Linked DNA regions of Coturnix japonica. The protein of the gene in region 2 purifies or fractionates together with the protein of the main gene of each other region. This does not show direct contact. Links are inferred from orthologs where the notes say so. Each region holds a gene or a part of one and is shown on either strand. Other genes may lie near its edges. The genes, in order: SF3A1, DHX15, SNRPA1, DDX5, SF3B1, SF3A3 and PRPF8.

Region 1 (4,128 bases), on a different chromosome or scaffold from region 2:
AGCTTCAGAGTAACTGAGCTATTTCGCCTCTTGACACCTCTACTACAGTGGTTCCTTTGGTAATCACAAACTCAAAAATTAAGCAGACCCAAAAAAGGAAGTAAGTAAGCCTCAGCTTCCACATTACCACAGCATGGCAAGCCAGGGCTTACAGTTAGTCTCAATGATCTTGTTTCTTGCTAACAGAAAAACTGATTATATGCAGTGGTTAAAAGGAAGAGTCTGAAATGAGACATCTTTTCAACATTCCAGACCCTAGTGTGTAAGAAAATTTAGAAGACTGGATGACAGAAATAACCTCACATCAATTCACCGGGTGACTGAATTCCCAGATTTCTCTTGTAAATTGTATTGCCACAGAGAATATTAAATACACCATATTCCAGTATTTCAGCAGAAACAGGTCATTTTTAAACTCAATCGGAAGGAAATCTCAATTCCCTCAATATACTGAGCAACGTATTATAATGAAGACGTAATAAACCCCACACAAATCTCACAGGGCAAGAATAATGCCAATTCTGTTGGCTACCTACCTCATCCATATCCTGCACTTGCGTGTCTTGATCCAGCTGGGTTGGAGGCTCATCTGTTTTCTCTTGTTTTTCATCTTCTTCATCTGACTCCACCTCCATCTCTACCTCTTCACTTTCCCCAAACTTCTCATAGCGCTCCTGGATGAGGATTCGAGCTCCCAGCTCTTCTGGAGTGGTGGGAGGTGGGAAATTCCCTACAGTGCAAAAAACACAGCTTTTGTTTCTTGGTCCCATTTGATTGCATAATGGGAAGACAGAAGCACCAATTTCTTGAGAAACAGTTTTTGGTTTCGTTTTGTTGTTGGTTTTTTTTTTTTTTAGCCATTTTAGAGGCATATAGTCACTCTGTTTTAAACTCTGTCCAGACTAACACTATAACAACAGCTGGAGATGAAGACATTTATAGGTGAAAGCACCACCAGAATATGGGACAAGTTTTGCTGTCCCGCTTCAAGATGGAAAAGCAGACACTGCCACAGAATACTACTTGATTCCAGAAGAAACTCAGCCCTATCCCATCATTAGGAAGCTATCCTTTCCATTTTGAAGGCTACACAGCTGTAAAATCCCATGTCTTCCTAAAACCAATGCTCTGCTCAGAGGAAGTACAGTTCCAAGAGGTTACAATGCCTGTCTTCAGTACCTTGCTCGTTGGGCTGAAAGTCCACTGTTTCCACAACCACAAAATCATGCCAATCAATCTGAGCATAAGCAACACGCTCCTTCTCCTTCTCTTCCTCTTCCTTCTTTCTCTCTCGCTCCTGGAACTTTGCCCACTCCACTCTGTAATACACCTGTACAAGCAGATTCAGAGCTAGCACCAAACGTCACACCAAAAATACACAATAATAAGCTCTACGGTGTCTAAAATTTATCCTAAAAACCCCTTCAAGGTATTCATACAAGCACCGCTTTGGAGGCCAGGGTAGGGCAAACAGATACTATAACACAGAAGCCATAGGTTTGCCCATTGAAAGGGTACTGTGCCAGCCTCATAAATTGGCTTTCTGAAGCTGGAACTGCGGAGCTCGAGTCAAGACCAAGCCAGATATGACACATTAGGCCCTGCTGAAGGTTCACAGCAAGGAATTCATAGACAACAAATTAGATGTATGCAGAGACAGAATTCAACACATAACTGAAATGCTTCAGCAATTTTGAGTTATTCATATAAATACCTGATCTAAGACTTCTTTGGGATTTTCAGCCTCCTTCTTGAGCTTGATGAGTAAGCCTTTCGGTGGGATCAAGATCTGAAACACATTTTAAAGGACAGCTGGTGACTACTTGTTGCCAAAATCTCCTTAACTGCAATTATTCTCTTTCCACACTGATAACAATAGTAAAGACCCCTGGGGCTGTATTCCATTTCTCCTGTCTTGCCACTCATTGCGCTTGCAGTTAAACTACTCACTCCTGTCCTTTCTATCTACAATCAGTACTTTAAAAAGATGCCACTTTTAAAATGTATTTATATTGCTTTAGTGTTTGATATTCTGAAGTAACAGAGCATTCAGTGCTGCATATTGCCAGCAAGTTGCAAGAGACCCACCCTTTTTAAAGGGCACCCTTAAGGATGGACTCCTAGGCCTGCATGTATTTCTAGCCCAGCTGTTTTTTAGGGCATCAAGAGTGCTGCTGAGGAAATCAACTTGACAGTTGCAACGCCACAAGTACCTTTGTGTACTGTTCAACCAGCTTTGTGAAGTAGTTAAAGAGACTGTGCTGCGGGCGAAGGAAGTCAAACTGGTAGTTCCTCTGTTCCTTCTGCATCAGCTGAGTCAGGAACTGCCTCCCATTCCGAGCCACGAACTGCGCTGTCAGCTTCACCACATCCAAATCAAAGGCAGAAATTGAGGGAGGATCTGCGATGAACTCAAACTCTGGAGGCGGCTCTTTTGGAACAACCGTCTCCTGGATCACCTGGGCCTGAACCTACAGAGCAGAACAGAGACTGCTCAGTGAATGCAAGCAAGAAATTGGTACTGAATAGTCAAGAGAGCTCATCTTCCCTTCAACTGTGGAAGGAAAACAACGTTAGTATAGATACTCTGACAATTGTAAGGATTGGAAGAAAAGCAGTAATGCTGAGTTTAGCCCTGTAGTTGGGCCTACTTTAAAACAAACACTGTTCCCAGAGCTAATGACACTGCAAGCTATCAGGACTTCACTACAATCCTCCAGTGATTATCAGTCCTTCAGTCAATATCACACAGCATAAGGTCAAGCAAAGCATGTAGAAGACTCAGACAGTACCCTTTTTCCACTTAGTATCTATGAAGAAAACTAAGCAAGATAAGCAATATTTTGTACATATTTTCACAAGGAGATGATCCTTCTGGCAGGAAAAAAGAAGAAAACAAAACAGAAGTGTATCTCTAAGACAGTGCATGCAACGTGCCCAAACTGAACCCCAAAGGATATTTAAGGATTGTGTATGGCAGTCCTAAATTCATACACTCCACATGAACACTAAGCCTTAAGTACCAAACAAGTCAATGAATAACTAAGTATAATTAAAATGCACCAAATAATACAATTTATTGATCTTCTACACAATGTTTTAGTTACCAGCAACCAGGGGATGCACACCTGTATCAGAAGAAAGTCCCAGATGCTAAATTTCATGCCTGTGAGTTGTCCTCTATTGCAACTATTTATCAATTAACTCCTTCCCTCACACTGTCTTTCTGCTTTCATCATTCTGCCTAGCATCACAATGTGAGAAACAATGAGTGAGAAGCAATCAAAGTGCAAAGGAACACTTACCTTCTGTGGAAGCTGCTGCTGAGCAGTTTGCTGCTGTTGCATGACCTTGGGAATAGCAGCTGAGGGCTCCTGTGCTTTGCCCTCCTTGAACTCACTGACTTTGTGTCGGTAGTATGCATGGTAGGGATCATTGGGGTTCAAGAAATTGAATTTAGGATTATTTATTTCATTCTGACGAATTCGAGCTTCAAATTCTGGACCATTTCTGCAGGGTGGAAAAATAAGTTTAGATAATGGGTATCAACTTAAGCATAAACATCCGTTTCTTTCACAGCAAGCTGTGTCCATGCATTCACCCCTCAGGATAAGTTCCTGTCCTGTGTGGAAGAAGTTTACCTCTCCCTGCCTCCATGTAACTCACACCCAACATAGCAGTCAGTCACACACACAGCAGTTATGTGTACATATCCTAATTTAGCCTTTAGCATTTCACAGCAAATATTTCTCAGGACAGTTAAAAACTTCCCATTCCACTTGGCTATATTCAAATCGAGCATCAGTGTATGGATTACATGATTTAATAGAAGATATTTATGAGTTTCTTAATAGACCACCAAGTTTTTAAGACTAGTTTCATTTCAAGAAAGTTCACCTAAGGAAAAGGTAGGTATTCCTGTCTGGATGCCCTGCAGAATTCACATAGCTAGCTGAGGTATTTACCTCCTGTGCTATTTGTATTCTGCCAGGAAGACCAAGATCCAGTCCCTAGATACCCCACATAGCATTAAGACAGACAGAAATACTTCAGCATTTTAAGATGGCCTGGCTAACACCAGCAGTTTATGTTTTCATGTTGGTAACAGGAGGAAAAAGCCCAAATGAA
Region 2 (4,910 bases):
CACTACTTTTATCAGAGATGTGAAGTATACTTTCTTCTAACCATAAAGTCCAAGAAATAATTATATTGCAAGTGCAGAGAAATAGGATTATTTTTGTTGTATGCTCAAAATTGCATCTCACCTCAGTCTTTGTGGCAGTTTCAGATTACTAAGATCTGTGTACCCGTCTCCACACACAATTTTGCTTCCCCTACTGAACCCTGATACACTCACCAAGAAACCCCCAGATTTACCAAAGAAATACAGCCACACAGTTCCAATAAAACTCCAAACCTTACTGTGATTTGGCACTTTGAAGAGAGTCCCACTTTACCAATAAATTCCATTTTTTAGATTACATTTTAAACAACTACAAGTTTAAAAAAAAAAAATGGCATTTTTATCTGCAAAACTTTTGAACTAGAAGTGCTAAAGTAATAAGCAAACTTCTAGCTAACGTAAATTAAATGGACAGCAAGTGGGAACCAAACTGGAACTGTTACTCCCCAGTGACTGTTATCTCATTAACTCTTCAGTCATAACAGAAAAGGAACCGATCAAGTTCTACCTACATTTCAGAAGTCAAAAAGCTGACTTAAAGGTCAACCAAGAGAGTTGATTTTCAGTTCCAAAAATGGTTAAGAACAGTATAAAAGAGGGGAATCAGACGTCAGCACAGAAAAAACAGACCTTAAATCTAATCATCAATATTAATCTTTCTACAACAGCATTACTTTCCTAAGAACATGTCTGTCAGCCTTCCACTACCACTGAAATCTATGAGGCACACCAGGTACCTTGCATCAAAACAAGGGACAGGTAGAGTGATGGTTACACTGCCAAATGATAACACTAAAATCTCTGGAAACACAACTTGGCAGTTCTTCATTAATGGAATGTCACATTTAAGTCGCTCCTCATCTCTGCACTTAACAGCCTGACCATAAACCCTAAAACAAACAACAAAAAGAATCAAAACTTAATAACATTTGTCTCGTGCATAAAGTCCACAACAATCTTCATAAATGGGAAGAGGTTGGTGGCAACGGTGGGTTTTGTTGGGCATTTATATTTATTAGTTGGATTTCTGTTCTCATGTGAGGTTGCCTGGTTTGCTACCTGAACTCCTTATGCCCACCCATACAAATAGATGGAAAAAAAAAAAAAAAGGTGAAAAAAATAAATCACTGACTTAGAGGACATAAAAGCACAGAAAACTGCAAATGGAAAAGAAATAAGGTTAAACCAACATTCACAGAATCACAGAATTGTAGGGGTTGGAAGGATCTCTAGAGATCGAGTCCAACCCCCCACCAAAGCAGGTTCCCCTACACCAGGTCATACAAGTGGGCGTCCAAGTGGGACTTGAATATCTGCAGAGAAGGAGACTCCACGACCCCCCTGGGCAGCCTGTTCCAGTTCCATTCATCACAACAGAAGTCTAAGCAAAACTAACATCACTGATACATGCATTTTTGCCACTACTAAGCAGACGCAACAATAGTTGTTGGCAGTCGATGCAGCAGCAGCAGTTAGATTGGCATTTCTGCTCTTTACCTAAGAAAATCAGTGAAAACGATGCATCACACAAACACAGCAACTGTGATGTTACACAACACCAAACAAAGATAAGCGTGCTTAGAAAAAAAAACCATCGGGTTTTAAATTGCACACATACAACTTGCACAGTAGCACTGTAACAGAAAACTTCTAAACCACACCTTCCCCAAAAGGTTTTGTCTTCACAGAGGATTCTTCAAGACAGGAAGATAACGAGTGGTGTCAAGCCACTAAGGCTGCAAGAACAGCTGCAAACCAACAGCATGACTGCCATGTGGGGTTACACACACTGATACAGGCCTCAGAAAGAACATAGCAACAACTCAACATAATTTTACATTGTAGACAGGTGACCCACGTTGAAGGCAAGGTACAATGCTATTCTATACATGATGTGGTATCTATTCAAGGAGCTAATATAGTTTAATCCAGTTCCAAAACCAACTACACTGCAGAAAGCCACAGTGTGCAGAATAGGACAAGAATATACATGTTGGTAACAACTTGTGCATCGCAGCCTTCTGTAGGCTGGAAAACCTACCGACCCTTACATAAGCCAGGACAACTTAGGATGAATAGTGTGTGCCTTGTGCTGGATGAACTAAGATCTCAAGGACTATGACAAAGAAATAAACTCAACAAGTCCACAGTGACTCTTAGTCCTGTGCCACTTAAAGCTTTTAACGGCAGACTTGGTAAAGTTTTAATGGCAGATGAGGGAAGGACAAAGGGACACAAACCCGGCACCTATGGAGGTTTGAGGTGCAATATTCTGTGCTGATTCTTCTCAGATCAACACTTTTACCTAAACAGCACTGCTGGGCTTCAGGGAGGAGCTGATTCAGGATGGGATTCAGGATGGGTTCTGTGCTTCCCAAGAAGGGCAGGCCAGATAAACACAGCCCTGCCTTCCTGAGCCTTCTGAGGCCCTTTGCTCCCAAACCAACGTCAGGGAACACAAAATATGAAGAGACCGCACTAAAACAACAACGGCACATTGTTTGTGTACCCCCCACGCCACTAACCTTGATGGAAGGCTGCTAAAGCTGGTGCATCGAGCCCTAAAAGTAACTAACGCAAAACAAAGAAACCTACTCCCACCGTGACATCCCACCCCAACCCCACCTGGCGCTGCCTCCTCACATGAGGCACAACCCCAGCCGGGTACCCAGCGCAGGCAGCTAACAAAGGAATAACGCTCCCACCCGCTTAAGGACGCAGTACCTCACGCTGACCCCCTGGATCACGTTTGCCACTAAACGAAAACGACACAAGCGCATCAAAAAGGAGATGCGGAGTTGAAGGTACGGGCAGGCCGCACACAAAGCCGCGCCGCCCCACCGCCCCCAGCACAACCCGGCCCCTCCTTCTCCTCCCCGCCGCCATCCGCCTCCCCCACTCTCCAGGCCGAGCTGGGCCCAGTCCCACGCTGCAGCGCGCCCGGGCCTCGCCGCTCCCATCCATCCATCCATCCCTTCGTGCCGCCCCGCACGGCGGAGGCTCCATCCCGCGGGGAGCGGCCTGGGCCCAGAACGAGCAGCCGATCACGGGAGCGGCGCTGATCCCCCCCATCCTCCCGCCCGCCGCGGGCCGCGCTGCCTCGTACCCGTCAGAGCGCTTCTTGCTGGAGCTGTAATCGTCGCCCAGATCTAAGCGGTGGCGCTTGGACATGGCGGGGGCCGCTGGGTGCAGCGGGGCCGGGTTCAAGGGAACGCGCTTTGCGCTTCAAGAGCAGCAGCGACGGCAGCGGCGCCGCGAGGCCAGGAGCAGCCACTAAAATGGCGGCCGGAAGGAAGCGACGGGGCTGAGCGAGCCGCTGCCGCGCATGGGAGTGAGCGCCGCCCCGCCCCGCGCCTCACAACGGCTGCGGCCCACAGCGCTGTGGGGGCGGGCGGGAGCGGATGGCAAAGGTGCTTTCCACAGTCCGTTCTGCTCCCCAGCACAGGAGTATTTCCACGGTGGAAGTTAAAAGCAGAATGATGTTGGCACGTCGTTTTTGTGGGCCGTTGCTGACGCCCATGTGTGTAGAAAAACGCGACCTTTCACAAGTCATCTGAAGCAGAAGTGAGAAAATCGGTGACGTTCATTCAAATACATGACACTCATGTATTTGGGATTGCTAGTGCAAGGGAAGCCCGTGTTCCTAACGCCAGCAGGCACGGCTGCCACTATTACATCAAAGTTCGTTAGATTTGAACACAAACTAGTATTTCATAACAACTGCTGAAGTGCAATGAGACACATGAGCTAAAAATGCCATTTTCTCAATACAGTTATCAGGTCTTTCTTGTGTACTGATGCATTTCACATTTCCAGCCAGTACCAGCAGCAATCTATGGCTCAAACTGGATCCAGCAAACCTGCCTTTTGGGTTGTCTCTGTGTCCTGAACTGTGTTCCTCATCTCCATCCTCCCCCAGCGCCTTCTAGGAACTGGGTTAACCATCCATGCAAGCTGTGTTTGTTCCCTGACTGTAAGCAGAGATGAGGCTGAGCAGGAGAAGACAAAATCAGGCAATTAAGATGTCCCTAAATGAGATGTCCTAAGTGAATCGTTTGTAATGTTAATCATTTCACCACTGATATGAGCACTATTATTTCTAGGCAGACCCCCGTGCTCTCACAACTAGATCCTTCAGCTGTTTCTCCTCTCATCCATCATTAAGTCTTAGCAGCTGCCTTGCTTTCCAAAACAGTCACTTGATAATACAGCATAGCTCATAAAAGTCAATCTCTGAGAGCTTCTCGAAAGGCAAGAAGGATGTTTCTTGATACTTATCTACTGTTGGACATTCTCTTCTCTGTTCCTCCCTGCTTTCCCAGTATATTTCATGTTCTCTCAGTGCTGCAGTAGTGGTTTAAATTAATGTCTCAGATAAGACAGGTTAATATTATGGCAGTACATTTCATTCCTATCTCTTCATCTAGGTGCACCTGACAAAAAATACATTGTTTTCCAAGTCATCCTCCCTGCCTGTTCTCACTGCCTTTCTGCCAGAGATTACCAAAACCTTCACCTAGCTACTTGGAGGAGTGGTCACTCCCCAGCACTTTGGTCAAAGGAATTAGGTTAGATCAGATGTTTTGAATAAGAATTTGTTGTTAACTTGTGTAACTCTGAGGGCAAGAGAGTATTCTCACAACTGGCTCAGCTAGCAAATCTGAAAATGGTCAGAAAAAATCACTTAGCAGCAAGTGACCTGTTCCACGGGCACAGCCAGCTCAGGAAGTAGGTGTTTACCCACACCCTCATGTTCTTCCAGAGTTACATCAGTGTAACTGCTATAACATTCCACAAAGACAAACCATCAGTGTATATTTAGTAGAAGAGCATTTTTTATTTTAAACGATACAACAAAACGACACCCTCAG
Region 3 (4,717 bases), on a different chromosome or scaffold from region 2:
TTTTCATCTGCTCATAATGAGGCAGACTGGCACCTTAGAATTAAGCGGCTGATGAAAGCTGTTGGATTTGGATGTTGTTGAACCATCACACAAAGCAGAGTGAATGGAATTGGATTTCAGTATCTCACAGGATACTGGGACAGCCTATGTAAAATGAATGGTGGAAGTTCCTTGTGAGTTACCTGCTGCTGCTTAAAGGACAGCAGACGTTTGTTGTCTATGGAAATGGAAGTCACAGCTTGAAAGAGCTGCCTAAATGTGACCCAGCTTCACAGACCTGCGCCCTGTCCTGCGTGTATTTGGGATGTGAACTGGGTGTTTGATTCATTGATTCACTTGTTCAAAAGCCATCACAGACATGGGCCATTTCCACTCATTAACCACAGCGAGAGCACATTTGATAACAGTTCTAAGCACTCACTGAGCACCCTCAATGTGATCAATAGATTTTTCAGTTCCCAGTCACTATAGAGAGCAAAACCAAGCAAACCACAGCCCCCTCTCTGCAGTAAAATAACACAGAGTTCCCTGTTTACTGCTATATCCCGATCCACCCTGACCAAACGGGTCTACCATAAAGATCTCAGATGTGTTCACCACCATCCAAACAACCAGGGCCGTCTCAGTTCGGTGCCGCACACAACGTGGTGTTTCTGAAGGAGAACGCCAGTGCAAGCGTTTGTTTTATCTTACGTTTTTGATCTCCTGGCAATATCCTTTGCAAGCTGTGCACCCCGTTTGCCCTTGAACATTTTCTCTGCCTCCTGTCGCTCCTACAGCGATACCACACATACAAAGTTAATGGAAGGATGTAGCATTTCGCAGAGCTGCTCTTTGCAAAGAAAGATGCTTTGGCTCATCTTCAGTGAACATCAGCATGAGGAGCCCAGGACAAGCACAAACACATTGCACAAACACTCCAACTCGAGGTGTAGCACTTCAGTGCTCTTAGAAGCAACAGCCCCAAGCAGAGGGCTCTGCTCTGATCCCTCATTCCTTTCTCTACGTTCCCCTTATCACCACCAACACCGGCCAGCCAGAAAAGAATCAGACTAAACAAACAACAGCAGTGAAACATCAATTAAAAACAATAAAGCAGATTACATCCTTAACGGCGTGAAACCATCAAAGAGAAGCACCAGCTTTAAAGCCTCATAGGACAAACTGTTCCACTGCCATTTACAGCTGGGGCAAAAAGCTTTACTGATTTCACTACAGTTCTATGAGTTAATAGGAGAAAAGGTCTCCATCTGGTGTTCAATCCGAAGGTAACAGACTTACTTTGAGTTTCACTTTCTGAAAATCCAGCACTCTGACTTGGGGAACTTTGTAGATAACATATAATCTGTAATGCTTCTTATTTGTTACTGGGTTCCTTAAAATGCTACGAGGCAAATAAAGGTCACAAAGAGTTACTTCATGTATTGAATATATTGAAATATATCACAACAAGCCGCTGCTTTTCTTTTCAAGATTACCCACCTCAGGTAAGTCAATGTTTTAATACTTGATAATGGATCCAGTTCACCCTATATAATGGAAGAACAGAGTAAGAATCTTAAATCCATTTCACGACAATCAAATATTTCAGAATGAAGCTCCTGAAGAAGACGACTAATTAGAAAGAGGACAAAAACATTAGAGCTGTCAAGATTTATTCTGCATCACTAACTTACCAGTTCAGAAATGTTGTTGTTGGTAAGAACCAGCTCTGTGAGACTGGGCAGAGCTTGTTCAAGTCCTTCCCCAATCCGACTACAGAAGAATAAAAACACAAAGATTTTACCTTTGGCTGGAAATTAACAATGGTGGACACAGACACAGATATATTAAAAATCACGGAATCATTAAGGCTGGAGAGATCTCAGAGATCATTCAGCCCATCCCCACCATGCCCAATAAACCTGTCTGTGGCCAACACAGCTGAAAGCATTTTGGGCCACCTCTGTCCCCTCTCCATGGCTCTGGAACACCTACAGAGACAGCAACTCCAACCACCTCCCTGGGCAGCCATGCCAACATAGAGCACCTCACTTAAACACAGCCAAGTATGACAGCAGCAGAAGTTTGGGTGAGCATCAGCTTTGTAACAAAGCCAACATAAAACAGCAGCTGCCACTGTAAGGGCACCAGGTGCAGCAAGGTAGCTCTGTTCACTCAGCTGCAGGCACCCCTGTCTGTGCATCACTATGGGGGTAGTGAACAACCCCCAAGGACCCAACACAAACTCCAGGCCCTGCATCTCATTGTCCTGTATGAAAATGGAACACAGAGCTGGGGCAGAACTTTGCAATGAACAAAGCCGGCTAATTGAAGGCTGAAGCAAATACCAAGCGCTATTTCTTCCCCATAAAGCAGATATTTTTACACCTATCAGGTATTAAAAGACACGGGCACGCTTCTTTTCCCTTCTTCACTCTGCTCTGCCCCAGGTCCCGTCTGATCACAACACTGATCACAACACAACCACGTACCAAATCCTGTTGTTATTCATCAGAAGAGTTTTCAACCTTCTCAACAGAGGGAACCCATCCAATTTCCGAATCTCATTATCCGAGAAATCAATCGCATCGAACTGATCCAACGTAGCCCCTAAATTCTCAATGACGGGGATTTTATACCCTGTGGGGGGGAAAAGAAACGTGAGAAGGGAATAAAGCAGGATGGGATGGAGCTCTGGGGACACATGAAAGAGGCATTTAACACACAGAACGACCCCCCCCATTGCACGGCCCGTTCCCAGTGCAGGCCCCACGCCTCCCCTCAGCGCAGGCCCCACACAGGCCCGCTCCCGATCCCCCCCCACAAAGCCAGGCCCGGCTCCCTCCCGGCAGATCCATCTCACCCCGCAGGTCGAGCTCTCGGTCTCGCACGGCGTTGGTGTATTGAGCCGCCTGCTCGATCAGCTCCGCCGTCAGCTTCACCATCCCGCCCGGACACACAGGCCGCACCGAGCCCACAACGCGCCGCACGGCCGAGCGAGGCCGAACACAGCCGAGTACAGCCGAGAACAGCCGAGTACAGCCGAGAACAGCCGAACACAGCCGAATACAGCCGAGTACAACCGAACACAGCCGAACATAGCCGAACACAGCCGAACACAGCCGAACACAGCCGAGCACAGCCGAACACAGCCGAACACAGCCGAGCATAGCCGAGAGGAAGAGGGCCGTCCTCTTGCAGCCCCTCCTCCACAAAATGGCGGCCGGGAGGGGCTGTATAGAGGTGGCTTTTCTGAGCTGTCGAGCTGGAAGGAAAGCGCATAGAAATCAGAATCATGGAATCACAGCGTGGTTGGGTTAGAAGGGACAGCGCTGGGTGTTGTAGAGGGGAGCATCCATCGCTTGTCTTGGCAACCCGTGCCAGTGCATCATTGTAAATAAGAGCCAATTTAAATAAATAAAAAATAAATAAATAAAAGTTGTCCTTGTGCCCAATTCTGGTGTGGTCGCAGTTGAAGCGCTGCAGCACTTCGGTCAGCAGAGGGAACTGCTTCCCTGTGCACAGCCCAACACAGCTGGAGGCGTCTCAGAGCCACCTGAATGCGGACCTTCCTCCTATAGCACAACACACTGTATTGCTCAGCTCTAGGGGTTGTAATGGGGTTGTAACAGAGCAGTTCTTGGTTTCAGATGCTGTACACGAGCTCTGGAAAGCTCCTTTGTACTGGAAAGTCCAAGTGGTGGTTTTTAAGATTGCTGTGGATGCAGCCTCACAGCCAAACTGCGAGCGGGGCTTCAGGCTGCACTAAGATCCAGCTGTTAGAGTTGAGTTGTTGGTGCCAAGAGACAATGAAGAAATGTGCTTTAATAAATTGTATTCGTTTATCTGGTAGAGGCACACTTTGATCCTCTGTGCATACCAGCGGCTGAGAGGCTTTAATAGCTCCAAGCAATAGCTTAGATAAATAATCTGAATGTTATTGCTTTCCAGGAATGATTTCTGAGGGAGTCGGAGCCCTGGGAAACACTGGGAGCTGATGTCGTTGTATGAACTCGACACGGAGGATTTGTTTCTCTTTCCCTGTGGGCTGGAAGGCAGCAGAAAGCACAGACTGCTGGGGATTGGTCATCTTCAATTGCACTACCTCAGCCAGGCTGTGCTTTCATAGTTTGTGCCAAGGATAAGGGTAAATTCAGCATTTCAGTGCATCTAAATATACCACGGCAGAGCTGAGTGCCAGAGCTGACACGGTGCTCCCGGCTGGGACTGGGACATGACAACAGCAATGGAAGTTTGTTATTTGATGAGCAAAGTGGCAGAAGCCAGAAGCATTTCGCCCCATTTCTGACCTCTGGTTTGGCCCGAGAACAACAGGGGGATCCCAGAGCAGCAGAAGGAATCAGTGTGTGATAAATCATCTGGCTCAGTCCCACTGATCCTCTGATACTTGTGAAAAGCTGTGAGATGCACGAGCCCACAGCAGCACAGCTCTGAGGAAACATCCTCTTTCAGACTCTGTGATCATTGTGGATCCCTTCCAACTCGGGGTGTTCTATAAGCCCCTCACGGGAGGGCTCAGTTTTTCCCTTTTTAAAGCTCAGAACCAGATACCCAAGCACTACCCTGGGCAGTTAATCGCTGCAAAACAAACACAACAGCAGGCTCCAGAGCTCCCTCTGCTCCCAGCCAAGGAGGGCTGGGTGTGAGCTGCAGTGTGGGCAGCAGGGCTGTGGGATGCTCAGAGTATGGATGGGAAAAGGGCAGCGAGCCCCCA
Region 4 (3,142 bases), on a different chromosome or scaffold from region 2:
CCGGTTCCGTTGCACTGAGAACTACGGAAGATTTAAGTGCAAACGTTGAGGGCATGGGGAACAGTGTGACTTTAATGGGGAAAATAAACCCCCTGAAGCACACAGGCCTTGTAACCCACACATAGAAGCAAAATAGAAGCAGGGCGCTGCATTATTTCACTGCCATCATTAAACACAGATGTGAACCAGGAATCTCAGACCTTCAAACCCTGCACTGTGTGTTATTCAGCTCAGGGCTGTCACACAGCACCTCTCAGCTGCGTGCAGCTCAACCAGGGGTTGGTGCTATTCCCTGTCAGAAAACCTGCTTGTTCTTCACAGCTCAGAGTGCTACAGTGACAGGAGCTTACAGAAGTATAAATGTTAAGAAAATAATGGATTACAGTGTAATTAATAGTAGCACAAGTTGACTTGGGGGGAAGATAGCACAGTAAGATGGGGAAAAGGCAAGTGAGGTTCAAGAGGCTTGAAATCACAGACTGAGATTCAGAATAACGTGGACAGAATCTTGCCCAATTCTTACATTAGCAAAGAGTGGTTAAGCATTTTTACCATTAAAAAATGATTATTGTTAAAAGTGGGAACTGAAGGTTAACATTCAGTTGAATTTTAAGATACTGTTGTTGAAAGCATTCAGTAACAAGCCCAGAATTGAGTGTTTCTGCTTGACCCCAGCAAGGAAATGCCTCAGAACCCTCCTGTGCTGAGCAGTGAGGCTTCAGCTGCACACAGGGATTGTACAAATGTCAGGAACAAAGAACCCCCCCATTCACTCAACAGCCCGCTTCCCTCCTCCCGCTGCCGCAAAGAAATCACCGCTCAATACCAGTTTAAGTATAATTTGAAGTTTTAATACTAAAGATCTTCCCATTTCTCTGAAGCTCATAGTAAGCCTGCATGCTAACTCACAAGGCCTGACAGCTGCAGACACATTACACTCAAGCCTAGTCTGCACATATGCAACAGTTACGGTGCTGCAAAAAAGCTTCCTACACTGGTGGCAGAAGCTCGTTAGCAACACCACTTGAGCAGAGCTTTGGTTAGCGAGATGCCCAGCTACACCATCACTCCAAGGAATCTTCTCCAAAATAAAGAAAACAAACTGGCCCTATGCTAATCAGACAAGGAAGAAGACCATTTCCAACTGCTATTCAGTAGCCAGCTTTGCTTTTCTTCCCCACCAAACAGAGCCTGCCATGCTAAGCGATCTAGAGCCCAATCAAGGCAAGGCTGGTTTGTTTTTAATATAAGCTTAAATGTTTAATCAGACACAGTTGAGAAACCTCTCTAGAATATAAAAACATTTGACATTCCATTAGTGTAAAGTTGTGCACATGTTGAGAAAATTGCCATCTGAAAGAAAATTCGGTCTTCAAATATCTTTATTGGAAGGCCATGCACTGCCTTCTGGTACTGTATTTCAAATCACTGTACATTTACTTTGAAAACACTGTCTGCATTTTCTAGTACAAAAAACTAAAAATTGTTTCAGGAATGTAGAGAAATATTCAACTTAAATAGCGAAAAAGTGCACCATAATTACTGCTGCACTGCAGTCATTTCTGCGCTTCCCATTTCTTAAATAACTATCCTGTTCTGAGATAACACACAATATAAAGAGCAATTATGAAAAACTGAGACATTTAAATACACTAAGTTATTGAGAATAACTCGCTGGCATTGGGTAACCTATCATAGGAGCAGCACCAGTGGCAGGATACGCATACTGCTGCTGGTTCATGCCATTGTGCATATTTGCAATGTTACTCCCGTACTGCTGATCATAGCCATTCTGGTAAGCTCCTGCAGGGTTACCGGCCCTGAAGCCAGCCTGCATGCCTGCAGCTGCAAAGCCATTTCCAAAAGGAGTTCCATTACTGAAACTCTGGGCGCTGTAGGCCCCATTCTGAGCTTTGGCTCCAAAGTCTCTCTTTCCTAGTGCACCATAAGTTCTCTCAAAGTTCTCCCTCTCTCTAAAGCTACTAAATCCACCCCTTTTGCCCGCAGAGTATCTGTCACGTCGGTCACCTCGGGAACGACCTAGTAAAGAGACAAGACAAGTAAGATATCTGATAGATATCAGATAGACAAGAGCAATCAAGGCTGCATTTAATTAGCATCTGGTGAGTTCAACTCATGAACATTCTTTTCCTTTGTCAGCAAGTCAAGTCTACTGAAAAGGCTTTCCAGTTTTTAACTGGACTCATTGGGCACAGAATTACATGAAGATTTACATTTACATGAAGCTAGAGCCCTTTCCCTAATGAAGGCAGGGTCATACACTCTCCCCTGTAATATGAGCAGTGGCATGAAGGAAAGCTGCTTTGGTCTCACCAATAGGAGTTACATGCAGTTATCTCCTAACTGTAAGAGGAAGCCAAACAGCTGAGCCTCCCTGCAAGATGTTTTAATGCAGAACACATGAGCCTGAAGCCCATCTTTGACATCAGCAGCCACAGCTCACAAGATGCTCTACAGCACAGCATTGTGAGGGCAGGTTTTGCTCACAAGCGTTTTAACACCTTTGGAGGTCACCATAACTGGCAAGTAAGCTGGATATGAATCCATTTTTGAGAGGCTAAAGATTGCCAGTTTGTTCTGAGAGAAAAGCTGTGCATCGTTAACAATAGCACTCACCTGAACCTCTGTCTTCAATCAACTGAAGCAACTTAGGGTTGATGGCTTGATTAGCCTCCCGAAGCACAGAGATGAGGTCATTTACTTGCTTAATATTGTTAGGAGTAAAGAATGTATATGCTGTGCCTGTTTTGGTACTGCGGGCAGTTCGTCCAATTCGGTGGATATAGTCCTCAGAGGAGTTAGGGTAGTCATAATTGATGACAAATTTCACATCTTCCACATCTGTAAAGTGTTGCAGTGTGGCAAAAAGCGAGGTACAAAGTTTTGCACACCACAACAGCCAAATCGAAGATAAACGTTAGACAATAGTACTTTCAATGAAATAATGGCTGCAAAGAACAGTGTTAGAATTATCCATTTCTGCACGAATATTGTGGAAGAGGAAGATATGCACACTCCGTCTGTTCCCGTCTTATCACCCACCCTGTGATCCAAAACCTTACCATAAAGGAGTATGCATTTGCTTGTCATTCCCAACTCAAGAGTCCCCTTTACAAATCAT
Region 5 (4,128 bases), on a different chromosome or scaffold from region 2:
AAGCAGAATCTACCAACTTTTTCTATAGTCCTGCTCTAATATTATTTTATTCCATGATCATTTAATTTTACTTTTTGATTGAAAATTTTTAAAATTACGTGTATCTTACGTTTATTCAGTTTGCTGATCAATTTAACCTGTTTGAACACAAACGTAACTACTGCAGTTTCAAACAAATATTTTAAAGCAGATATAAATGATAGAATGACAACACAGTTAAGAGTCTTCAGAAGTGATGGGTTCCTGGGTTGCTAATCCGGAATACGTACACTTTCGTGCCTTTGTCTCCATCAGCAGTTCTGACTTCAAGCAGCAGAATAGAAGCCTAGAAAATTATCTCTTTACCATTAGTAACACTTTGGAAAGATATTTATATTCAAAACATTACCTTGTGCAAGCTGCTACATCCTAGTAGTTATCTGACTATAAACAACTACTGCATACCTAAGTAATGTTTAAAATGCTTTATCGTAAGGACCCATTTATAAGTTTGACAAATCTGGACACACCTCCCAGATCTTCCAGTGTCACATTGTAAAAGGGCTTCATTTAAAAAAGCAAGAAATCCCAGAAAACTGATAGCACCTTCCCCCTCCTTTCAAAGAACAACTGCGACTGGGATCTGAACGTAATACATTTACCACCACAACAATACTCACACGGAATGGGGTTTGTGTACCATTTGTTGTTTTATGCTCTGTATCTTGAGTTAAAGTTTAACTTTTACGTACTTTACAAGAAGCCCGACTTTATATAAATTAAGACTTGTCAAGAAAAACACTATTAATTAAAAGGAATGTGCAGATTGCTATACGAGTGGTATAGCAATATAGTTTAGGAAGAAAATAAAACTCTTAAACATTTCTATGCTGAAGATCATTGCCCAATTGGCTGTGTCACTCTGACACTAGCTTTGATAGGACTTTCCTTTGGAATACTTTTTCACCATAATCTACACAGGATGTGTTGAACTGCACCCTTAAGAATGCAGACAGGACTGGCATATAGCAGTACTGCTGTAGGAAAGAAATTAAGGACAGTTAGTATGGGCCTGTGAATTCTGACAATACATGTTTATATCAATTACAATTAAGCAAGTAAAATAAGTAATATCCCTAATAATTCATGCAGGCTGCAATTCTAATTTGTAAAACCTGCAAAACAGCTGCTGATTTCAAGCCAACAGGCACCTCACTGCCACAAGTGAAACTCACTCGCCTCAAGAAATCTTCCATCAGACCCACTACACCCCTTTTCCTGACTTGCATTCTAAAATTATCTGAACAGACTTGAACTATTAATAGTATCAAAGTCTTACATTCGCTTTTGTTCCTTTTAGCTATACCACCTAAGTTTACATAAGATGGTAAGAATTAGGTGCTCTATTTTGAGAACTAGCATTTCAAAAGCAATAGCCCTGTAAAACTATGACTTGGAACGAAAGCTTTCAAGGTATTGAAAGACTGAGCACTCAATACACAAGTTGTTCAAGTATAATGCACAACCCAAAACAAAAAGAAAAGAGAAACCTTTAACCCTTTGTGTTTCTATGGCAATGGCTCATTATTTTCTTGTCCTTCTACCTGGAAAGAAAACTTGTATTATAAAGATGAAGAATATGGCATCTAGGTTTTCAACCCAACCTCTACAAAAAGGGGATGTTTAAAACAAAACTAAGTTTATAAGCATGCCAACAGAAATCAAAGGGCTAAAGACAGTTTAAGACAACAGATCTCAAAAAGGGTATAAAAAAAGTCAAAAATAAATTACCATCTGCAAAAGGATCGAGACGCTCAGGGGAAATTATCATCATCCGCCTGTGCTTTTTGTACTCATCTTCCCGATCTGCAATCTTTTGAGGACGGTGTTCTGCAAAAGGATCATACTAAAAACAGAAAAAAAAAGCTGGTTATCACATAGGAACAACATGAAAAACGCTGCTGACCGTTACACTACCTAAATATAAATCTTACTTCTGAAACTAGAATGGTTATTGAAACGCAGAATTTTTTGATCAAATAACTTCCTGTTACTGTTCTAAGAAGCTTTTTCATTTGCTTCTAAGGCATTTCATCCCAGCAGTCTTTCTTCTTTGGAAGAATAAAACTTCTTTCAGGAAGACTTATTACAACCTCATACACCTTTAAGCTTCAAAGAAAACCATTTTAGGAGAATAAAACATTCACAATTACATTGTTGTTACAAAAAGCTTAAGAGACATTCAGCTGCTCCAGATATTTGTATTTTTTTAAGTATACAATTGATGTTTTTAAGTAGTCCAGCATATATGCACATGTTGCCTCTACATGCACAAGTGCCAATTTCTACCACGTGCTGGAATTGTAACATAAAGCACAGACAAGCTCGGTGCTTCAAATACTGTAATGCCTTACGGACATGCTGTGCTTTCAGAAATGAAGATGTGGTCTTGAAATACTAATACTTCTCCTAAGACCCAAATAGCCTTTTGTTGTGCCTTGAGTTCAGACATACCTGTTCAGTTGACTGCGGAATGTCATTAAGCAGTGCCACTGGAGCATGGTACCCCGGCTTCTTCTGGCCAAGCAAACTTGTAGATGGGTAATCATCATCATCCTGCCAGAAGAAAGACGTGGCAAAGTCACACCAATACTGGCTTTAGGTAACAATGTCACATCAACACACTGCAGTCATAGGTAAGATGAAAAGGGACGGGAATATTCAACTCCATTTTCAGCAACTGATTTCACATCTATTGTTGTATTACTCCCAGCAATCAACTGCTGAACCAGATACAGCTCAACAAACAGCTACATTGATACCTTATTCCTTAACAGACTCGGTGAATGTACTGCATTTACTCCAAGATGCCATCTTCAATAACTAGTATTTCATATTAGTGCTACCAATGCAATGAGCTAATTGTTATTGAAAAAGCTGTGCACACTGCTCTTTTTTTCTTAAAATCCAGACAAATACAAAGAAAATGTCAGTAAGTAACCCTGAAAAACACTTCTGCAATAACAAAAGACTGAGAAATCAATTAGAGCTCTGTTAATTTGGTTGTACCTTCTCAACCACAGCACCAAAAGCAAGTCTTCAGAATGTGTGAGATACTCTGTGTATTCTGTGCAGTTATCAATGAGACTCCGTGCACCAGTTTACAGCAACACGGAAGGAAAATTGCTCGTAAAATTATTAACTGAGTTCAGGGAAACGCTGTAAGGGAAGTTTTTAATTAATGCATTCCTGAAGTCTTCAAATACTGCACCACTACAAAAAGATACCAACTAATACTGAACCACACATAACATTCTTGCTTCTCCTTAAAAATATTCTCTGCTCACTTTAATACACAGTTACTCATTGTGTGTTTATGATCAGAACTGCTTTCTGATTGCTTTTGAAACCAAAAATGTGTTTAACATTAGAATGTAACAGAACTTATCAACATAACCTTAACCACCCTTATATATGAGACAGTGCAAAAGTCAATCCACAGAAATAGCACCGAAAGTTCAAATGAAGTAGAAATGAAAATATTAAAATAGCCACTTAAAATGTCAGGCCTGTGTTTTATTAGTTTTTTCCATCTCATTTTTCACCTTGGCAGCAGCAACAAAACCAATTCAGACGCTCTAAAGCTAACGGAGCACCAGCCGCCCCGATCTCAGTGTCCTCCTGGAGCTCTGTGCCTCTCAGAGCACACGTCATCAAGTCCAAGCAGACACAGACCTGATGAATGCCCAGAGTGAGGCATGTTTGTTCAGTTAACTGCAACTATAAATCGCTTCAAACAAAACACCACAATGCTTAGACACTCCTTAAAGAAATGAAATCACTTACGTCTTCCAATTCAGTTGCTGCGATGGAAGTTACGTATCCAGCAAACCTGCTGTCACTGCCACCATAGATTTCTTGGTCATAATATCCGGTGGAGTCGAGGCCCACTCCTTGTGCTTCATCGAGGGCAGGCTTTTTGCCTTGAATTTCTCGGATCTGCGCTTCGATATCTAGGGTAAAAACAGCCAAAAACTCAGGTCTTTGTCAACATACAGAAAATGCAACACTTCTATCATCACATTCAGCAAACCACCCAGTTTCTAAGTCCATCTCTAATTAACTGAATATAATTATCACATTAAACTA
Region 6 (4,586 bases), on a different chromosome or scaffold from region 2:
AGGTTTCTGTCCAAAGGGCCCCTGGGTTCCTCTTTTGCTCAGCCTCAAGAGCCTCACGTTTTTAGCCAAAAAAGGAAATGACCCAGCTGCACGTAGAGCTGGAACATCTGGATTTTATCCCTGTCATGAATGGGTCATGGCTGCGAGCGGCCCCGGGCCTGATTTACGGGAGGGGGAGGGTGATGTCATGCACAAACCTCCCCTGGGTTCTCAGAGCATGGTCTGAAGCAGGCACGGAAATACTCCTCAGCACGCAGCCAGGCGAGCAGAGCCTTCACTGTGAGCCCAGCATTAACCACACACTGAGCTTGAAAAGCCACCCTACAGAGGGACACGGTGGCTCCTGCCACATGCTTTTGGGGCTCACTGTGGGCATCCCTCGCTGCCCTGTGGTTGAGGGCTCTCTCTTTCCAAACATTCTTTTCAGCTCCCTGCTGGAGGTCACCCATTTCCCAGCTGCAGGCATCTACATGCAGCGTCAGGTCATGGCTCCAGCACAGCCTCTTCTGAGCTCTTAAACCCAACATAAACCTGCCCCAGCAGCTCCTGCAGCCCTGCAGGGATGGGTCTGGAGACCAGGTGCAGCTGAAGGCTTGGACTTGGACCTGTGTGTGCTAACAAGCCCGGGTCCACTACTGTCCATACTGCCTGGGGTAGTGGGGAACCAGAGCTGAAGGTGAACTTTCTCCTTTGCCTCTGTTACGTGAGGTTAGGGATGTGGCTGAGCCCTTCAGGCATCCTGAATGCTCCTCCTGCTGTTATCCCTTCTTCCAGACCCTCAGCTAAGGTCCAAAAAGGTGGGGAGGCCGCAGAACTCACAGAGACAGCTTTATTCCTCAATATACTCAAGGATCATGTAGTTCCAACCCCCCTGCCTAGCAGGGCCACCAAACATACACATTTACTAGTTCAGGTTGCCCAGGAGACCCCATAGATCCCCATAGAGACCATAGAGACCCCATAGATCCCCATAGAGACCCCATAGATCCCCATAGAGACCCCATAGACCCCATAGATCCCCATAGAGACCCCATAGAGACCCCATAGATCAGGTTGCCCATGGCCCCGTCCAACCTGGCCTTGAACACCTCCAAGGACGGGGCATCCACAACCTCCCTGGGCAGCCTGTTCCAGGACCTAACCACTTTCCTAGTGAAGAACTTCCCCCTAACATCCAACCTAAATCTTCCCTCTTTTAACTTAAAACCATTTCCCCTAAGTCCTGACATCCTTCAGCCGTGATGTCCAAAGCCCATTAAGCACAACGTCTGTTCATCCCAGGAGCAACATCTGTAACCCCAAGGCAGGCAGGAAGGAGGCAGCACCGGACTGGACATGTTTTATTCTGCTTGGGCTGTGATTCATGGCTGTATAACGCTGCCCACAGCCACATTGAAGCTGGAGGCTTTCACCCCAGCCTGGGGGCACCTGCAGTGCTCTCAATCCTTACGACTTTATGGGTTTGAAGCGAGAGGTGTCAGAAAAGTTCCCACTTTTCTGGGATAACTGGGATAACTGGCTTGTGGCGGCCAGTGGATCTCACTGCTCTACACCTTCACATGGGCTAAAATCAACGCGGAACCACATTCAATCCGGATCAAGCGGCTCAGGGAAGGGGCCGGACCCTTCCGGTGTTACACAGCGAGCTTCTGGTTCCGGGCTGGAAGGGGAGAAGATGGAGACGATCCTTGAGCAGCAGCGGCGCTACCATGAGGAACGAGAGCGGCTGATGGACGTCATGGTGAAGGAGATGCTCACTAAGAAATCCACGGTGAGCCCGGGGATGGGAGTGGGGGGACACAGGGGGTGTGTGCCCGGGGAGAGGGGGGGGGGGTGTGGGGGGGGTAGGCCGGGCTCAGGCCTTCATTATTAACGCCGTTTATTTCTATGCAGCTCCGCGATCAGATCAACTCCGACCACAGGACTCGGGCTATGCAGGATGTGAGTGGGGTCGGGGTGTGAGTGGGGCTGGGGGTGGTTCGGGTAGCTGTGGAGGTGCAGGGCCCAGATTGGCCCCGGTTTGGTTGAGGTTCTTTGTGTCAACGTGAGGTTTGTGTTGTGTTTTAGAGGTACATGGAAGTGAGCAGCAACCTGAGGGACCTGTATGACGATAAGGATGGGTGAGTGTATAGCGGGCTGGAATGGACATGGGGCTGCCTTGGATCTGCTTTATACACCACAGACATGATGCTACAATGCAAAGCTGGGGGTCTGCCCTAAAGAGGAGGACCCAGATTTCACATGAAACATGCAACACAAACACTTCTCAAGCAGAAAGCACAGAGCAGTACTACAGCCCTGTCCCCCTTCCTATCCCCATATGGGGGTGGAGCTGATCCCCCACCACACTCCTACCTCCTCTCACCCAACCCCACCAGCTGTACCAGACCCTCTGGTATTGAATCATTGAGGGAGACGGTCTCTAACTGAGACTGCAGCGTTTGCAATAGAGATGTGACCCTGATCCTCAAAGCACAATCCTGGCTGCATGTGGAACATCAGTGGGTGTATGGGAGATTGGTAATCACAGCCTGAACCTCTGATTAATCAGCTGAGCCAAGTGTTGGGTCAGCTGTGGGAGCACAGGTGAGAGTAATTTAGCTGTTCCCCATAAAGGGGTGGAGCTTGACTTCACCTCCTCTAGACCTCATTGAAGGGCTGACCACCACTAATGCAGCATCTCTTGGTGATTGCTGCTTGGTAGTGATCACTTCAGTGGTTCCCAGCAGATCTAAGGCTTCCATATGGGTGAGCTTAACTTGTAAATAACCTTTTGGTTATTTACTACCATCTTTTCATTATTGTCCCCATATGGTGGGGCTGTGATTTCAGTCTCACTGGTGTTTTGTGGGAGCAGAATGCAGTGTTAGACTTCCAAACATTATACCAATATAAACCAACATAAACGTGTTTTCTATATGCAACCTGTCTTCTTTTTATGAACCTGTAGCTTACGGAAGGAGGAGCTCAGTGCCATTTCAGGGCCAAATGAATTTGCTGAATTCTATAACAGACTGAAACAAATAAAAGAGTTCCACCGCAAGCATCCCAATGAGGTAAGCAGCAGCTCCATAAGGATAACTGGTTTGTGGTGTGTTGGGCTTCATCTCTGCTGTATTAAAATGTCATTCAGGAAAACAAAGTGTCTAGAAATAGGTGATGCTTTGAGACTTTATATGAGCCTCTGTCTGAGTAGGAGAAAATGCAGGATGCTCACCATGTCCTCCACACTCTCTATTAGTTTAAGAGCATTCTGCTTCTGAGCTAGCATTCATTCTTGCCTGCCTAATGCTGTCTTTAGTGCAAATATAATCATGAAGAAGTGCTTGAAACACCTCTTCAGTTACTTGTTTTACTGTTTGCAGTCTGTATTAATTACTCCTGGGCATTAGCTGAACTAATCCCTTTTTCTATAACTTCTTCTGTTCCTGAAGATTTGTGTTCCAATGTCAGTGGAGTTTGAGGAACTGTTGAAGGCCAGAGACAACCCAAGTGAAGAAGCTCAAAGTAAGTCTTCAGGGTTTTGTTTGTTTCTTGTTTGAGGTTTGTTTAGTTGAGAACACATTGCTTGCCGTGATTTAGTGACCTGTCTGTTCTGCTTTGATTTCCACCTCCCTTTCCCTACATTAACCATAACAACTGTTTTAATTTCATTTAAATTCTTCTGGGCTGCAGCCACCCTGAAATATTCCACTGTTGAGATGGTTCTTTTGGGGGATGGTCTGATATAACACTAGGAAGCTGGTGGCCATCTAGTCGATGAGTATCCATTTGCATTATAAACATGCTTAAGAAAGATAAACTAGTCTGCAGTTCAGCTTCTAAAGCATGCATATAACAAGCAGAGGATGTTGAGTTTGTAACAAAGCCCTGCGTGCTCTTTCCTGCAGACCTGGTGGAGTTCACAGATGAAGAAGGGTATGGAAGATACTTAGATCTGCATGATTGCTATCTCAAATACATTAATCTGAAATCATCAGAGGTAAGTGGTTGCAGTAGTGTGGGCACTCTGTTGTATTGCACTTCAGTGCTGAGGGCTCAGTGGTCTGTTTTAAATGTCATTTATTTCCAAATAGCTGTTTTATGGTGCTTGTTTTGCATTGTGTTAGAAAGCACACTGTAAACCCCAGCCCTGTGCAGACCATGCAGAATAAAGGCATGAGCTTTGTGCTTTTCTTCTAGTCTGGTGACTGGAAATTGGTTGCTGATATGCTGTGTGTATCTAAAGTCTGAATCAAACTTCCTTTCATTCTTAGAAACTGGATTACATCACTTATCTGTCTACATTTGACCAACTCTTTGACATCCCCAAAGAGAGAAAAAACGCTGAATATAAGAGGTGAGTCTTTTTCCTGCCTGCTTCATTCATGAAAGTAGTTGATGAGAAGGAATTTGCTTCTCAAGTGTCCAGGAGCAGAGTTAGTAATCAAGCAGAGGTGACAGAGATTGGGTCACTGAGCTGTATTAACTCGGTCATAAATCCCTTGAGCCCTGAGAGGACGTGAAGCACAACAAAACGTGGGAAGCCGTTGGGCTTCTAATTTTGAGGCAGTACTTTAGTTTGCTGTATTGAAATCTGTTCTAAT
Region 7 (4,128 bases), on a different chromosome or scaffold from region 2:
AGCTGTGTGACAGAGCTTCCTGCAGATGCTTGAAGAACGAGCTGAGAACTGATCCCGTGCCTTCCTTTTTAGATTGTCAATAAATGGAATACAGCTCTGATTGGCCTGATGACATATTTCCGGGAAGCTGTTGTAAATACTCAGGAGCTGCTTGACTTGTTGGTGAAATGTGAGAATAAAATCCAGACTCGAATCAAAATTGGTCTGAATTCCAAAATGCCCAGTCGTTTCCCACCCGTGGTATTCTACACCCCTAAAGAGCTGGGAGGTCTGGGTATGCTCTCTATGGGACATGTTCTCATCCCACAGTCTGACCTGAGGTGAGTAATATTGCCTGATCTGAACTGCCCACATGATTTAGGGGCTCTGTTAGATATTCTTTCCCATTGAAGTATTTAGGAATGCTAAACCACAACTTGCTTACAGAGATAGGTTGTCTTTACGTCACGTCAATGTGACTGGTGATGTCCCGTTGCTCCTACCTCACTCTTCTGCCTCTCTGCTCCAGGTGGTCCAAGCAGACCGATGTTGGCATTACTCATTTCCGCTCAGGGATGAGTCATGAAGAGGACCAGCTCATCCCAAATTTGTATCGTTACATCCAGCCATGGGAGAGTGAATTCATTGATTCTCAAAGAGTGTGGGCAGAATATGCTCTCAAACGACAAGAGGCTATAGCCCAGAACAGGTATATTTCCATGTTAAATTAGATCTCTGTGTGTCTGTAGCCTGTCTATAGTGATAGCTGTGGATGCTTTTCTGAGCTTCTGAGTGTCATTTTAGAACCTCTCCTGCTACAGCCTTGAAATCTGTATCCTTTCTGTGATCTCATCGCCTGAAATATTAATGCACTGCCATAAAATTGAGAGGTAACAGAGTGTGGGGATGTTTCTTTTCTTCAGGCGTCTGACACTGGAAGATCTGGAGGACTCATGGGACAGAGGAATTCCTCGTATTAACACCCTTTTCCAGAAGGACAGGCATACCCTGGCTTATGACAAAGGATGGAGAGTCAGGACTGACTTCAAGCAGTATCAGGTATTGACATGGGATTTCTCAGTGTGAATTTCAGGCATCATCTTAGATACTGCCCAGTCTGAATTACCTACTAGGTACTGTCTGAACTTGTAGATGAGCCATACCTTCCAGAATGGGTGTATGAGGTTTTTTACTTGTTAGCTGACATCATCTTGGTTCCTGAAATTAGTGCAGCATGGTTAAATGATGTGAATGCAGAGCTGCTCACTGGTAGGTTGTTGTTGTTTGCAGGTCCTGAAACAGAACCCATTCTGGTGGACACATCAGCGCCACGATGGGAAGCTGTGGAACCTGAACAACTACCGCACTGATATGATCCAAGCTCTGGGTGGAGTGGAGGGGATCCTGGAGCACACTCTCTTCAAGGGCACTTACTTCCCTACATGGGAGGGTCTCTTCTGGTAAGAGAAACCTTGATCTGGCCTTGAGCAAATTGGAGCTTTGTGATACACCAGGAGTTCTTGGCTTGAGCTGCACTTACTCTGCTGAGCTGTTCTGTTTTCCAGGAGCACACCATATAGTTCAGTTTGAGGGTACCTGGCATTGCAGTATAACTAGATTTATGCATGTGATTGCATGAAAGTTCTTTACATGAAGCAGTTCTTGCTCCTTCTGTTCTGGTGCCTTGCTTCTATTCTATGTGGTCCATGAAGATCAGCTGTGATTAGGAGCATCTAACACAGTTGATCGTCATTTCTAGGGAGAAGGCCAGTGGCTTTGAGGAGTCCATGAAGTGGAAGAAGCTGACAAATGCCCAGAGATCGGGTTTGAATCAGATTCCAAACAGAAGATTTACTCTGTGGTGGTCTCCTACCATTAACAGAGCCAATGTAAGTATCTGGAATTAGCTTTCAGGATCTTGTGCTGAGTTGAGAGCAGTTATCTGGTTCTTCAGCTGAACTGTAGATCTGAGCCTTCTGAACAGCAGCAGTTCTGTTCTCTAAGCTTCACCAGTTTTGCTGTTACATGTTCTCATGTCTGTTTTTCGTTTGCAGGTATATGTTGGCTTCCAGGTGCAGCTGGATTTGACTGGTATATTTATGCATGGCAAGATCCCCACACTGAAGATTTCTCTCATTCAGATTTTCCGAGCTCACTTGTGGCAAAAGATCCACGAGAGCATTGTAATGGATTTGTGTCAGGTAAGCAGTGTGTTAACAAGGTTTGTTCAGTGCACACTTGCTCCTTGTATACTAACAGCCTCCTGCTCTTGACAGTAGCAAAGCAGCTCCTCTAGTAATTCGACAGACAAGGGGAGGAAACTGGATTTTCCTGGGTACCTGCTTGTGTGTGTTGTGGATAGACTCTGTTAGAGTCTTCTACTGATACTGTAGAGTATACTATAGATACTATAGATACTTCACCTTCTACTGCCTTTTCCCCAGGTGTTTGATCAGGAGCTGGATGCTCTAGAGATTGAGACAGTGCAGAAGGAGACAATCCATCCCAGGAAATCATACAAGATGAATTCCTCATGTGCAGATATCCTTCTCTTTGCTTCCTACAAGTGGAATGTGTCACGTCCATCATTGCTTGCTGATTCCAAGTGAGTGTTTCCCTACAGAGACAAGCTGCTGAGCTTGTCCCTGAGCAAAAAGCCTTATATCTTGGGAGCCCATGGCTGACATACTTCTCTGGGTATCCAGGAGGACATAATCATGCCTGGAAAGTGCAGGGCTAGTATGGGTAGATGTTTTCTTTTCAGTAGGGTATGCATATAGTACCTGGCTTCAGGGATCAGGCTTGGTAGCACTTACTCTCTGCCAAAGAGATGTACAGCAACTGCAGGAGAGTTCTATGCAAGATTTAATTACTCTGGGCTGCTTTCTTCTTAGAGATGTGATGGACAGCACCACCACTCAGAAGTACTGGATAGATATCCAGCTGCGCTGGGGCGATTATGATTCCCATGATATTGAGCGCTATGCAAGAGCCAAGTTCCTGGACTACACTACAGACAACATGAGTATCTATCCATCTCCCACTGGTGTGCTCATTGCCATTGATTTGGCCTATAATTTACACAGGTAAGAACTGCATCGTCTGTATTTTAGCTGTAATTCATAGTTGATGGATGTGTCTTAGTGCATCTTCAAACTGGGCTGTGTTCCAGGCTGGAGTTGCTGTAATAGTGGTTCAGCTCACTGATTGTTTTCTTAAGAGATCTCTGCCAGATGGAGTTCAGGGGCAGGCCTTGTTTAAAGGCCATCTGTAAGAGGGAACAACTGCTCTTCATGAAAGAGCAAGGCAGAGGTGTCCCATCAAGCAGACCTCTCTAGTACGACAGTTGCAAACCATGCAGTTCTTGTGGGACTGTGCTGCACGTGTGTGCTGTGGCTTCCCACTGAGGGGAAGAGAAGGGAAAAGCAGCCGCTGAACAGCTCCAAGAGAAATCATTCACTGGTAGACAGCAGGCAGAAAGGTGCCTGTCTGCTGCACGTGAAGACTTGTTCTGTTGTCCCTTCATCTTAGACCTGATGGTAACAGCTGTTTCTTTCTCTTTTCCTCTTCAGTGCATATGGGAACTGGTTCCCTGGTAGCAAACCTCTGATCCAGCAGGCTATGGCCAAAATTATGAAAGCAAACCCTGCGTTGTATGTGCTGAGAGAACGAATCCGCAAGGGCTTGCAGCTGTACTCATCTGAGCCCACAGAACCCTACCTTTCCTCTCAGAACTATGGAGAGCTGTTCTCCAACCAGATCATCTGGTTTGTGGATGACACCAATGTGTACAGAGTGACCATTCACAAGGTAAGGCCAGAGCTGCATCTTAAGGGGGAAGGATGGGGGCTGTTAATGTTCTTTGCTCAGGATGATTGAGGAGAATGTGCCTGAGGGTAAGCTGGACACTAACATGCACCCAAACCTTTAGCAGTGTGTACAGAGCAGCCCTTGCATTTCCAGCATAGTTCCTTTTCAGAGCATTTAACAAGCCAGCTGTTGTGTAAATGGTTGGATAGGCTGCTTTCATCTCACTGTACTTTCTACTTCTTATTTCCTCAGACTTTTGAAGGGAATTTGACCACAAAACCTATCAATGGAGCCATTTTCATCTTCAACCCTAGGACTGGACAGCTCTTCCTGAAGATC

What was found.
Region 1: the proteins of DHX15 (region 2) and SF3A1 purify together in Homo sapiens (co-immunoprecipitation; 5 studies listed by BioGRID and IntAct, with this or other methods). This does not show direct contact. The link is inferred for Coturnix japonica from reciprocal best matches to the Homo sapiens genes DHX15 and SF3A1.
Region 3: the proteins of DHX15 (region 2) and SNRPA1 fractionate together in Homo sapiens (co-fractionation; 3 studies listed by BioGRID and IntAct, with this or other methods). This does not show direct contact. The link is inferred for Coturnix japonica from reciprocal best matches to the Homo sapiens genes DHX15 and SNRPA1.
Region 4: the proteins of DHX15 (region 2) and DDX5 fractionate together in Homo sapiens (co-fractionation; 3 studies listed by BioGRID). This does not show direct contact. The link is inferred for Coturnix japonica from reciprocal best matches to the Homo sapiens genes DHX15 and DDX5.
Region 5: the proteins of DHX15 (region 2) and SF3B1 purify together in Homo sapiens (co-immunoprecipitation; 6 studies listed by BioGRID and IntAct, with this or other methods). This does not show direct contact. The link is inferred for Coturnix japonica from reciprocal best matches to the Homo sapiens genes DHX15 and SF3B1.
Region 6: the proteins of DHX15 (region 2) and SF3A3 fractionate together in Homo sapiens (co-fractionation; 3 studies listed by BioGRID and IntAct, with this or other methods). This does not show direct contact. The link is inferred for Coturnix japonica from reciprocal best matches to the Homo sapiens genes DHX15 and SF3A3.
Region 7: the proteins of DHX15 (region 2) and PRPF8 fractionate together in Homo sapiens (co-fractionation; 3 studies listed by BioGRID, with this or other methods). This does not show direct contact. The link is inferred for Coturnix japonica from reciprocal best matches to the Homo sapiens genes DHX15 and PRPF8.

The regions. Positions count from the first base shown.
Region 1 is NC_029530.1:9,660,236-9,664,363, reverse strand, and holds part of SF3A1 (splicing factor 3A subunit 1), read right to left. Parts: intron 3,511-4,128; coding exon 3,306-3,510; intron 2,472-3,305; coding exon 2,214-2,471; intron 1,790-2,213; coding exon 1,715-1,789; intron 1,331-1,714; coding exon 1,180-1,330; intron 731-1,179; coding exon 537-730; intron 1-536. UniProt on the Homo sapiens protein: Component of the 17S U2 SnRNP complex of the spliceosome, a large ribonucleoprotein complex that removes introns from transcribed pre-mRNAs.
Region 2 is NC_029519.1:66,708,268-66,713,177, reverse strand, and holds the start of DHX15 (pre-mRNA-splicing factor ATP-dependent RNA helicase DHX15), read right to left. Parts: upstream 3,335-4,910; 5' UTR 3,211-3,334; coding exon 3,146-3,210; intron 1-3,145.
Region 3 is NC_029525.1:15,973,485-15,978,201, forward strand, and holds the start of SNRPA1 (U2 small nuclear ribonucleoprotein A'), read right to left. Parts: upstream 3,027-4,717; 5' UTR 2,928-3,026; coding exon 2,846-2,927; intron 2,623-2,845; coding exon 2,475-2,622; intron 1,756-2,474; coding exon 1,677-1,755; intron 1,530-1,676; coding exon 1,483-1,529; intron 1,385-1,482; coding exon 1,282-1,384; intron 774-1,281; coding exon 694-773; intron 1-693. UniProt on the Homo sapiens protein: Involved in pre-mRNA splicing as component of the spliceosome. Associated with sn-RNP U2, where it contributes to the binding of stem loop IV of U2 snRNA.
Region 4 is NC_029533.1:7,256,377-7,259,518, reverse strand, and holds the end of DDX5 (probable ATP-dependent RNA helicase DDX5), read right to left. Parts: intron 2,863-3,142; coding exon 2,638-2,862; intron 2,041-2,637; coding exon 1,658-2,040; 3' UTR 830-1,657; downstream 1-829. UniProt on the Homo sapiens protein: Involved in the alternative regulation of pre-mRNA splicing; its RNA helicase activity is necessary for increasing tau exon 10 inclusion and occurs in a RBM4-dependent manner. Binds to the tau pre-mRNA in the stem-loop region downstream of exon 10.
Region 5 is NC_029522.1:31,271-35,398, reverse strand, and holds part of SF3B1 (splicing factor 3B subunit 1), read right to left. Parts: intron 3,993-4,128; coding exon 3,826-3,992; intron 2,596-3,825; coding exon 2,494-2,595; intron 1,886-2,493; coding exon 1,771-1,885; intron 1,562-1,770; exon of another isoform or gene 1-1,561. UniProt on the Homo sapiens protein: Component of the 17S U2 SnRNP complex of the spliceosome, a large ribonucleoprotein complex that removes introns from transcribed pre-mRNAs.
Region 6 is NC_029538.1:3,123,618-3,128,203, forward strand, and holds the start of SF3A3 (splicing factor 3A subunit 3), read left to right. Parts: upstream 1-1,628; 5' UTR 1,629-1,675; coding exon 1,676-1,771; intron 1,772-1,893; coding exon 1,894-1,941; intron 1,942-2,067; coding exon 2,068-2,120; intron 2,121-2,950; coding exon 2,951-3,056; intron 3,057-3,434; coding exon 3,435-3,507; intron 3,508-3,890; coding exon 3,891-3,982; intron 3,983-4,256; coding exon 4,257-4,339; intron 4,340-4,586. UniProt on the Homo sapiens protein: Component of the 17S U2 SnRNP complex of the spliceosome, a large ribonucleoprotein complex that removes introns from transcribed pre-mRNAs.
Region 7 is NC_029534.1:4,145,635-4,149,762, reverse strand, and holds part of PRPF8 (pre-mRNA-processing-splicing factor 8), read left to right. Parts: intron 1-72; coding exon 73-320; intron 321-508; coding exon 509-688; intron 689-902; coding exon 903-1,038; intron 1,039-1,269; coding exon 1,270-1,439; intron 1,440-1,738; coding exon 1,739-1,868; intron 1,869-2,033; coding exon 2,034-2,180; intron 2,181-2,423; coding exon 2,424-2,584; intron 2,585-2,873; coding exon 2,874-3,065; intron 3,066-3,551; coding exon 3,552-3,789; intron 3,790-4,041; coding exon 4,042-4,128. UniProt on the Homo sapiens protein: Plays a role in pre-mRNA splicing as core component of precatalytic, catalytic and postcatalytic spliceosomal complexes, both of the predominant U2-type spliceosome and the minor U12-type spliceosome.